Bombyx mori: one gene and its partners. The main gene of each other region encodes a partner of the protein of the gene in region 3 in a complex. Links are inferred from orthologs where the notes say so. Each region holds a gene or a part of one and is shown on either strand. Other genes may lie near its edges.

The links.
Region 1: DNA-directed RNA polymerases I, II, and III subunit RPABC1 (region 3) and general transcription factor IIE subunit 2 share a complex: the UniProt entries of both Homo sapiens proteins name them as parts of the TBP-based Pol II pre-initiation complex. The link is inferred for Bombyx mori from reciprocal best matches to the Homo sapiens genes POLR2E and GTF2E2.
Region 2: DNA-directed RNA polymerases I, II, and III subunit RPABC1 (region 3) and ruvB-like helicase 1 share a complex: the UniProt entries of both Homo sapiens proteins name them as parts of the PAQosome complex. The link is inferred for Bombyx mori from reciprocal best matches to the Homo sapiens genes POLR2E and RUVBL1.

What each region holds. Positions count from the first base shown.
Region 1 is NC_085118.1:15,266,876-15,270,635, reverse strand, and holds the start of general transcription factor IIE subunit 2, read right to left. Parts: upstream 2,390-3,760; 5' UTR 2,246-2,389; coding exon 2,184-2,245; exon of another isoform or gene 2,180-2,183; intron 1,452-2,179; coding exon 1,347-1,451; intron 523-1,346; coding exon 360-522; intron 1-359. UniProt on the Homo sapiens protein: Recruits TFIIH to the initiation complex and stimulates the RNA polymerase II C-terminal domain kinase and DNA-dependent ATPase activities of TFIIH. Both TFIIH and TFIIE are required for promoter clearance by RNA polymerase.
Region 2 is NC_085128.1:12,886,035-12,889,794, reverse strand, and holds the start of ruvB-like helicase 1, read left to right. Parts: upstream 1-926; 5' UTR 927-1,297; coding exon 1,298-1,438; intron 1,439-1,815; coding exon 1,816-1,944; intron 1,945-2,860; coding exon 2,861-3,035; intron 3,036-3,578; coding exon 3,579-3,760. UniProt on the Homo sapiens protein: Possesses single-stranded DNA-stimulated ATPase and ATP-dependent DNA helicase (3' to 5') activity; hexamerization is thought to be critical for ATP hydrolysis and adjacent subunits in the ring-like structure contribute to the ATPase activity.
Region 3 is NC_085125.1:6,615,505-6,618,792, forward strand, and holds the end of DNA-directed RNA polymerases I, II, and III subunit RPABC1, read left to right. Parts: coding exon 1-112; intron 113-701; coding exon 702-780; intron 781-2,644; coding exon 2,645-2,710; 3' UTR 2,711-2,761; downstream 2,762-3,288. UniProt on the Homo sapiens protein: DNA-dependent RNA polymerase catalyzes the transcription of DNA into RNA using the four ribonucleoside triphosphates as substrates.

The DNA of each region.
Region 1 (3,760 bases), on a different chromosome or scaffold from region 3:
TGTGCTGGGGTATAATAATACTGTAATTAATGCCATCATTTTCCTAAAGTAATTACTCATGATTATTTTTATACATTATGTAGATACAGTTAGTGTTAATAGGGTGTCTTGTGAGCATGCAGGGGTAGATATAACCACACTGCCTATTTCTTTACTGAAGCATAAGCAATATAAAAGTGAGATTTAGAACTCATGTCTATATACTCCAGTAACTGCTTAACACCAGGTGGTTCGTGAGCACATTAGACTTAGTAATAAAATAAAAATTGCATTTATCATCAGCTATAAGAAAATGTGTGTGTTGTTGTAATTATTATTGAGGTAATTTATTTATTATTTCAATACTTATTAAAAGATACCTGTTTTATTTTATTTCCGACATCCAATTGATTTGTCTCATCTAAAATCTCATCTAAAGACAGTGGATGGTCATCTCCATCTTGATGCCTTGCTCTCATATGCCGTACAATACGCGCTAGCACACCAAAGCGATAGGACGAGCTGCCAGTCATAGTCTTGTAACTGAAAAGGATGATGATCAATCACAGATTTAACCAATAATTATAATATAACAAAAAATAATATTATTAGTGTTTGCTTATTGATCTAAATTCGACCATAATCATTGACACCTCAAGGTTTAGATTCAATTTAGTATTAAATTTTCCCTTTTGTTTCGTTACTTAGTGATATAAAAAAAAATCTAGAACTGTTTTCTGATAACACAAAAGCTCTTTAATAGCTACTAAATTAAATAAAAGGGAGAGTTGTCAAACAGAGAAAGAACTGGTATCTATATGCTCTATCTCAATATTTTATCCATTGTAGCACTAAATATGATCAATTCTTTTTTATATATTTTATAAGATTTTAGCAAATACACTAAATGATAAATTATTTTTTTAACAATAAAAAGCTCGCTACATATAGCCTGTATCAAGGCTATCATAATATAAATTTTCGAATTCCAAATAAATCCTGTGTTTTTTATTTTTCATAATTTTTTTTCCAAAGGCTTTTTCTAATTTTTTTTATTCAAAAGTTGATATTGCTATAAAAAGTTTATTAGTATTATTTAATAGAATTGGCGATTAAAATTACCTATAAAGCATAATAAATTATGGGAAGCAATGGTACTGATGTCATGAATAGATATTGCTGATATAGTAATTTGACCTAGTCAAAAGATAAAACTAAATGTGATTTCTAGTTTATTAATGAAAATAGCATTAGTAAATGATGCACATATTTGTTTATGCGGAACACAGTAACTATGTAAATTCAATAGTTATTTTGATAACAGAATATTTTAAATTATTAATTATGTTGCCCTAGCCTTTACTTACTTACTAGCATCAAGCTTTGGTCCGGAGCTGACTGAGCTGGATGATTTCGATTTCTTTTTGCTGTCATCTTTGAATTCAGAGTCATCCCTTTTCTTTTTTTCAATGCTGAAGAGAAAAGAATAATACTTTATTAATTTTGTTTCGTTCTAATTTGACAGTAACCTTTCGATGGGTTGAACTATAGCTCATGTAAAGTGTACTTTTATCAAGTGTGACTATGCTGGTATTCAAATACCATAGACCTGTATAATTTTTTCCACGGCAAAACATTTCTAACACGTTTTCATAAATGGATTATAAGATGAAGTAGCATTTTAGATAAAAATCATGTTTCAAAACAATTGGTGACATTCACATTATATCTAGGGGCTCAGGTAATCACTTAACATAATGTGGGCTGTCAGCTTGATCAGATTCTTTGAAAAAATTCATTACTTTAAATTAAATGAAACATTTTCCATTGTATTCTAATTTACCTAGGGCATGCCAGTCAATATAATCTTTAAAAAAATAGGGCCTGTGCCTTGATCATATTTATCTAGAATATTGGCTGCTATTAAATTAGGAAAGATATTATATCTTATTAACATTTAAATCTTCTACTTTTCTCTGCACAAGTGATTTGTTCACATTTCTACTCATTTAGTATTTCGAAACACATATTTCCATTCATAACTTTATATAATGACTCAGTAATGAATATTGCCACAAGGAAGTGAATTGATAGTAATTGTATGGGCTACGTGAGTGACAGAGAAAGTGTGCGATGGATGCCAGTATGTCTCCAATCATTGTTGTGGACTAGCGAATAGTTTAGTTAAAAATAATGTAACAGACCTCGGGGTCGCAAGTGCCTTCTTTTTAAACGCTTCCCGTTCCCGTAAGAGCGCCGGGTCCATATTTTCGTCTTTTAAACACAATCACTAAAAGTACGTATCAATTGTATTAGTATTTTGTTTAATTGCTGTTGTAATGTAGTCTATTTTCCACTTCCAAATCCTGTTTCTTTAAAATCCGGTTTGAGCAATTTGACATGTGACATATGACCATCTTTGACAAATGACGTGAGGGAGTTCATATAGAGTCCCTTCTTTATTTCGCCTGGTTGTGTTTTATGTAATTAACACCACAGTTGGAACAATATAAATTTTATTGTTGTAGCGGCATAAAGTAATTACATTAAATTGGTTATTATCACATTATAAATTATTTTTGTTTTTCATATTTTGGCGGTAAAAAGGTATTGTCACAGACTATATTCTTTTTCCCACATCTCGTGCGTTCCGGCTTACGCATAATAAAACGCCACACCACCCCCCTACGGAGAAGGAGAATCCGCAGAAAAAGAGAAAAAAATATCATAGGTCGAAAGGTTTGGAGAAGTGGACTCTGCGACCTGATCGGGTGGTATATTGAGGTGTATGCGTAGGAGTAGCAGTTAGAGGTGCCGAAGGCACGAGTGGACATGAAGGGACATTAGTAGCATCCGGTTGCGCTGGTTGAGGCACAGAAACCCGCGGTGCTGGTGCTGGAACGAGATCTACTAAAGAATGCTCGACGAAAGCTGGCTTAATTCTGTCGACACTGACCGTCACCTGTTTCCCTTTTACATCAATCGACCACGTTTTTCCGTCCTCGGCTCTAGATATAACTCTATGAGGACCAGAGTAAGGTGGTTGCATTGAACGTCTAACCGAATCCTCCCTGAGCATTACATGAGAGGCGGTGGAAAGATTTTTAAATATGAAAGGTGATGGTTTAGTGTGTGAGGAACATGGAGTGGGACGCAATTTAGACATACGCTGTCTTAACTTTACGACAAAATCCGTCGGGTCCTCGAAGCCAGAAGGACCGGGAGGTACTAACAGTTCCCCTGGAAGCGTTAATGTTTCTCCGTAAAGCAATTCCGCTACTGTTGCTTGTAGATCTTCTTTAAAAGCCGAACGCATTCCTAATAAGACCAAAGGTAATGCATTCAACCACGAATCATCATAACACATCAGAGAGGCCTTTAATTGTCTATGCATGCGCTCCACGAGCCCATTGGCACAAGGGTGGTAACTAGTAGTGCGTATACGTTTAGTACCACATAAATTAGTAAGGCGTCTGAAAAGGTCCGACTCGAACTGTCGTCCCTGGTCGGTAGTGATGACAGCAGGTACTCCGAATCGAGCAATCCAACCGGCTACAAAGGTGCTCGCCACTTCTTCTGCTGTTATTCCGTGCATAGGCCAAACTTCGGGCCATCGAGTGTAGCGATCCACAGCAGTCAGGCAGTATTGGAAGTCAGAACAAGATGGAAGAGGGCCTATGATGTCAATATGGACATGCTTCAGTCGAGACGTAGGACTGGAGAAGTGTCCAAGTGGAGATTTTATATGCCGCGTCACCTTACTTCGCTGGCAAGCAACGCA
Region 2 (3,760 bases), on a different chromosome or scaffold from region 3:
TATAAGATTTGTCGGCGATACGTTAGGATTTTTACAGGTAAAAATAGTAGAACGAAAATGTAACACAAAATTCTATAAAATGTTAGCATTGCGTGAATATTACTTATATACATCTATACCGATATCATAAAGAGGAAAGATTTGATTGTTTGTTTGTATTGAATAGGCTCCGAAACTACTGAACCGATTTGATGATAGAATAAAACCGAAAACTATTTATGATAGAATAAAATAATGTACTACGACTTTGTAGAACACATTAATATTTACAGTGTTTTTGCAGTATAACTATTATAGTTATGCCACAGTAAGTGTTCTTTTATTTAAAAAAATAAAACTACGTCAATTATCGTTTACAGAGAAGCTCTGACTTAATAAACTTAATGGCTTTTGTTTTGTATGTATTACATTATCTTTTTACGAAAATTAGAAATATAATAATAAAAAAAGAGATAAAAAATCATATAGAATTTTTTTTTTAATTAAAATAATAGTATTCAAACTATATTTATAGATAATTTTCTTTTTTTAGTAACTCAGGGCAAATAGAAGAGTAGATGACGTGTGTGTGCTATAATTTTTTAATTTTGAAATTTTTGTTAATTTTCAAATGATTATGCAAAGTTTTCGCTGCATTCGTGGTTTTCCAAGCTGTGTCGGTTTTTTAACAGACATGAAACCGCGCGAACCGCGATCCTTCGCGTAGTCTCCCACACATTCGTGTGACCAGTTGCGCCCAGGATAGCGAAGGCAACGGACGTTTCGCTATTTTCATAGATCGTGACGTCCAGGTACTGTGTAGCGTATCTTAATCAAAAGAAATCCCATAAAAACAGCATGGCTGTTAATGATGTCTGGGAAAGAATTCAAAACTCTTTTTCTCTTCAATATTCTATTGACGAATTAAAAAGGAGGAGAAATTCGTGAGACATTCGTAAACAAGTGTAGGAGGAAGCGCAAACGGGTTCGCAAATTGAGTACCGAACCCATTTGCACAGCCGCTAAGTTTGCGAATGAATGTTTGACGGCCCTTCACATGCGCGCAAACATTCGTACAATGTACGAATATTTGCGCGCATGTGAGTGGCCGGCATTATGTGCTGTAGTCTGTAAGAAGCGTATACCTAATCTATGGTCTGTAGCATAGATTATAAACTTAATATATTGTCTGTACAGTGTAGTTTGTATAATGTATGGTGTAGTTTAAAAAGTAAGTTTGCTCAAGTTTGCTGTTGGAGTACTAAAAAGAAAATACAAAGTAACGTCTACTGTTTAAAAGAGTAAAGCTGCTTTCAACATGAAAATTGAAGAAGTGAAAAGCACAGCTAAAACGCAAAGGATCTCTGCTCACAGTCATATAAAAGGCTTGGGGTTGGATGAAAATGGTGTTCCTATTCAAATGGCAGCCGGTCTCGTGGGTCAAGAGTCTGCACGTGAGGTATACAATAAAATTTCCAAAAAAATTGCCGATAAATTTACACTCGAAATTGTATAAGTTTTATTAGATCAACCTCGTAGAGCAGAAGTTCGAGAAAAATAATTTGAGGTTATCAATGTTTGGTTGCTATGGAATTATTGATCAATGGTAATTGGAGGCAATATGACAATATACATAACAAAATGTTGAATTGTAGGATTAGGTAGTTTAGTAATAGTAATTCAATGTAATCTTAAGCAACCTAACACATTTAATACAATCTAATTTTTATTTATCATTTACTGTCCAATGACCACAAAATTACAGGTATTTTTATTGCATCTATACAAATACATTTTTTTTTGTAAACTATTTTTTATTAATTTTAAAAATTGTAGGCTGCAGGGATAGTTGTAGATATGATAAGAAGTAAGAAAATGGCCGGGCGAGCTTTACTCTTGGCAGGGCCTCCTGGTACTGGCAAAACTGCTATAGCTCTTGCCATCGCTCAGGAACTTGGAACTAAGGTAAGTTCTTACTTAAGTCTGACAATATAAACTTGGGCTGTCACCTTCTTATTTTCATATCTAAAATGAGTGTTTTTTTATTATTATTTTTATTGCTTAGATGTGTGGACGAGCTCACAGCCCACCGGGTGTTAAGTGGTTACTGGAGCCCATAGACATCTACAACGTAAATGCGCCACACACCTAAAGTTCTATGGTCTCAGTATAGTTACAACGGCTGCCCCACCCTTCAAACCAAAACGCATTACTGCTTCACGGCAAAAATAGGCGGGGTGGTGGTACCTACCCGTGCGGACTCACAAAAGGACCTACCACCAGTAATTACGCAAATTATAATTTTGCGGGTTTGATTTTTATTACACAATGTTATTCCTTCATCGTGGAAGTCAATCGTGAACATTTGTTAATTACGTATTTCATTAGAAAAATTGGTACCCGCCTGCGTGATTCGAACACCGGTGCATCGCTAGATACGAATGCACCGGACGTCTTATCCTTTAGGCCACGACGACTTCTCTTTAAAAGTCTTTTTATTGACAATCTCAATGGCATCGGTTTAGAGCATACTGACCATAGTGTGACTGACCATGTGTTAACATTTTACTGACCGATTATGGTGGAAGCAGCCACTTAAGACTTCCTATTCGCACACTTTTTAGATAGAGGTTAGGAAACAGCTACTAAGAAAATAGTAAATTCCAGTGAACAAGAACTGTTGAAAGAATGATTAATAGGCTCCTATTAATATACATTGGCATTAGAAAATTAATGAATATGCTAAACAGTACATTACATATAATAAACTTATCATAGTTTCCTCAGTGTCCTTAGCTAGAAGTATATGAATAGAAATATCATCATCATCAATTTGTCATAAAACAAGCATAAAAACATTTGAAAATGTTCATCATTACAGGTTCCTTTCTGTCCAATGGTTGGTAGTGAAGTTTACAGCACAGAGATCAAGAAAACAGAGGTATTAATGGAGAATTTTCGACGTGCTATAGGCCTGCGTATACGTGAAACCAAAGAAGTATATGAGGGTGAAGTAACTGAGTTAACACCTGTTGAAACAGAAAATCCTGCTGGAGGTAACTATAGCAAAATTATTCTTTTATTCTTTTATATATTAATATGGACTTAAGAGGGTCTGAATTAAATGTTTTTTTTTTTTTTTTTTTTATATTGATATAAGAAGGTCTAAGGGTCTAAATAGGGTCTCTAGATAGCTAAAGCCAAAGTGGATATAATCTACTATGATTGAACTTAAAATGAAATTAATTGACAGATATTGGCTATAGTCAGTTTGTATTTTAAGAACAGCAATTTAAATTGAAGGTTGGGAGTCCGTTGCACATTCAGTAAAATGATAAGTTTGTCTAAACCTTAACTACAACTACTCTTAGCACAGTTTGTAGGCAGTGGGTTGGCTTTCCCCTTGACATGAAGCTTTGAAATTGGTCAAAAATTTGATACCAAAGTTCATAATATTAGTTTTGATTTTTTGTGTGGATCTATCATGCAATGAATAATCTTGCTTCAATTACTGTAAAATTTTGACTTGACTTGCTCTGACTTGATTCTTTGGCTTATATCTGCTTTACCTAATATTTTTGATATCTTCTTTTTTTAAGGCTATGGAAAAACAGTATCTCATGTGATCATAGGACTAAAAACGGCCAAGGGTACCAAACAACTTAAACTTGATCCAACTATATATGAATCGTTACAAAAGGAAAAGGTTGAAGTTGGGGATGTCATTTACATTGAAGCTAATTCGGGGGCAGTGAAGAGACAGGGTAGGAGTGATACTTTT
Region 3 (3,288 bases):
TTCTAGAACAGTTCCTTGAATCGGAACTACTGATTAATATAACCGAACACGAGTTGGTACCGGAACATATTGTGCTGACACCGGATGAAAAGCAAGAACTCTTGGCAAGATAGTATCCTTTACTGACAACGTTTAGAAACTAGAAATAGCAATATTGATAGAAACAACAAAGATAGATTTAAGTTTCGGAAATAAATCATTTGACCTCATGTCTCAGATGAGTGGTGACATTGGGTTGTCTATAGACTCTGATAACGACTTAAAACTAGACGGGCCGTGAGCTACTACTGGTGGTAGGACCTCTTGTGAGTCCGCACGGGTAGGTACCACCGCCCCGCCTATTTCTGCCGTGAAGCAATAATGCGTTTCGGTTTGAAGGGTGGGGCAGCCGTTGTAACTATACTGAGATCTTAGAACTTATATCTCAAGGTGTGTGGCGCTGTAGATGTCTATGGGCTCCAGTAACCACTTAACACCAGGTGGGCTGTGAGCTCGTCCAAACATCTAAGCAATAAAAAATAAAAAAAAGAGCTCGTCAACTTGTTTAGTGAACAAAAAAATGTATTGGCAAATTAATAATGTCCCTTAGTCATTTCAATCTAATATTATTTCACTACTGACTTAATATGTAACTGAGATAGCATTATACATATACTAAAAGATTGGTTCATTTAAATGAAAATTTCCTAAATGAATGACAGTAAGCTGAAAGAGAACATGTTGATGAGAATACAAGCAGGTGACCCTGTGGCGAGATACTTTGGACTTAAAAGAGGACAGGTGAGTCATTTATCATAAATTTCTAAGTACAAACATTTTCATTGATATAAAAAAGGGTGTATATTTTTTTATGTTTACTTCTTTTACAAACTTCATATACATAAATTGCCTTCTTGAGACAAGAGTGTCTAAGCTATATAGTATAACGGTTGACCACCATTCAAACCGAAACGTATTAACGAAGGGTAGGGCAGCCGTTGTACTGTACAAACTGAGACCATAGAACTCATATCTCAAGGTAAAGCCTTGTTCGGACTAGGCGAGTATTTTAGTCGAGTACCGAGTAATTTAGTAGCTAAATGTGTCTCAACACCAAAAATTTAGTCGAGTAGGTTAGTAAATAATTTAGTCAAGTCAATCCATTTTGTTCTATTTTTATCGGGTGAGTAGCAAGTAGTTTAGCCACTAAATTACTCGGTACTCGACTAAAATACTCGCTTAGTGCGAACAAGGCTTTAGTGACGGCATTTACGCTGTGGATGTCTATGCGCCACTTAACATCAGATAGGCCGTAAGCTCGTCCACCCACCTAAGAAATTAAAAAAATGGTTCGCGGCATAAATAGACAGGGCGGTGGTACCTACTTGAAGGAAGACTCGAAATTCATATAATCGTATTTTTAAATTCAGAATAAAAAGAAAGCAGAAAACAACAAAGCTATTAAATTGTTGTAATGTTATCAGCTCTTGGAAGAGTGTGATATATTTCAATATTGAAATTGGCGGATCTCATATTACAAAGATTTTGCTACACACATTTTCCTTTTTCTAGTCATTGGATTAAAATGATGTCTAAATAATTTTGGTCACTGATAATAAAAGTTTATAGTCATATAATCATAATAAAAAATACTTAAGTGATCTTTGTTGGAATTATTGTCAAAAATAGAAGTAAATAACAAATAATAATAAAAAAAAATATCGGTTAAAAAAAACAAAACCTATGTCAGTTAGACCCTTCATTTTAGGGTTTTTTTTTCTTGATAATTTTACGTATATTTATTGAAGGCATGTATGTATAGGTACCCTGTAAGTCAGCGGTTCATATTGATAACAATGATACTTGTTACTAAAGAATCAATTAAGTGAAGTTACACAATTTTGGCGTGTTTTATGGTCACGATCGTTACTTGAATTCGATTTGTTAGGCTCCCGGTTTTCGTGCAAGCTTTGTATGTTAATTTGAATTTAAGCCTCATTGGATACACCGCGTCGGTTACGCTGCCGCATATTTCGAATCACTTACCTTACTTTGGCTGAGTACGTCAGAATTCAAATCGAGTATAAGAATATCTAAAGCACAATTTTTTTTTGTTTCTGTTACCCATAGACACAGCCCACTGAGTTTCTCGCCGGATGTTCTCAGTGGGTCGCGTTTCCGATCCGGTGGTAGATTTTTTTTTTATTTTTTTTTTATTGCTTAGATGGGTGGACGAGCTCACAGCCCACCTGATGTTAAGTGGTTACTGGAGCCCATAGACATCCACAACGTAAATGCGCCACCCACCTTGAGATACAAGTTCTAAGGTCTCAAGTATAGTAACGACGGCTGCCCCACCCTTCAAACCGAAACGCATTACTGCTTCACGGCAGAAATAGGCAGGGTGGTGGTACCCACCCGCGCGGACTTACAAGAGGTCCTACCACCGAAGCACTGCTCTTGCTTAGGGCCAGTGTTAGCAACACTCCGGTTTGAACCCCGTGAGCTCACCTACATGTTAGTGTGAAGCTGAAACAGCCTCTCAAGGCTATCAGCATAGGCAGGAGAAAAAAATAATCAAAAGTGATAAAACGTTTTCGACATTTTTTTGTTTGTTGTAGATCAAGCGATAATAATAAAAATTAAACGCGATACTTTATTACAGGTGGTGAAGATCATAAGATCATCGGAAACAGCCGGGCGGTACATTTCGTATAGATTAGTTTGTTAATTTAGCAATAAGATAAAAATAAAAATAAGGGAACAAAATCTACATACCTAATAAGTTGTTTTATTTTATTACTTATCTATACTAATATATAAATCTATAGTGGTTTTTACGGATGTTCAGTTATAACTACTGAACCATGCATCCGATTGACTTGAAACTTGGTATCCGTGTAGAAAATACATGTACTTAATGGATAGGCTAATATATGAGTGTTGGACTCCCTACACCAGTTGCGGTGGCGTTAATGATGAGAATCTTTGTGGGGATGAGAAATAATAATGTTAATTTTAAATGCCCAGCGAAGCGGGTACAGCTAGTACAATTATATGACTACATAATTAATAAGTGAACATTTTTGTGCTCAAGTTTGATTTTAGAATAAGTTAAAGAAATACCCAACTTTAGTGACTTCGCTAATAAATAAATAAATAAGTTACCATGATCATATTATTTGTGTTCGCATATTGTTAATTCGAATGATTTGAAAATTGCATACTTGATGCAGTAAATAGATGATAGCACTTCAAGGTCGTAAAGCTTCGGTTTTTTCTCCGTATTTAATCATTGGTAACTTAATG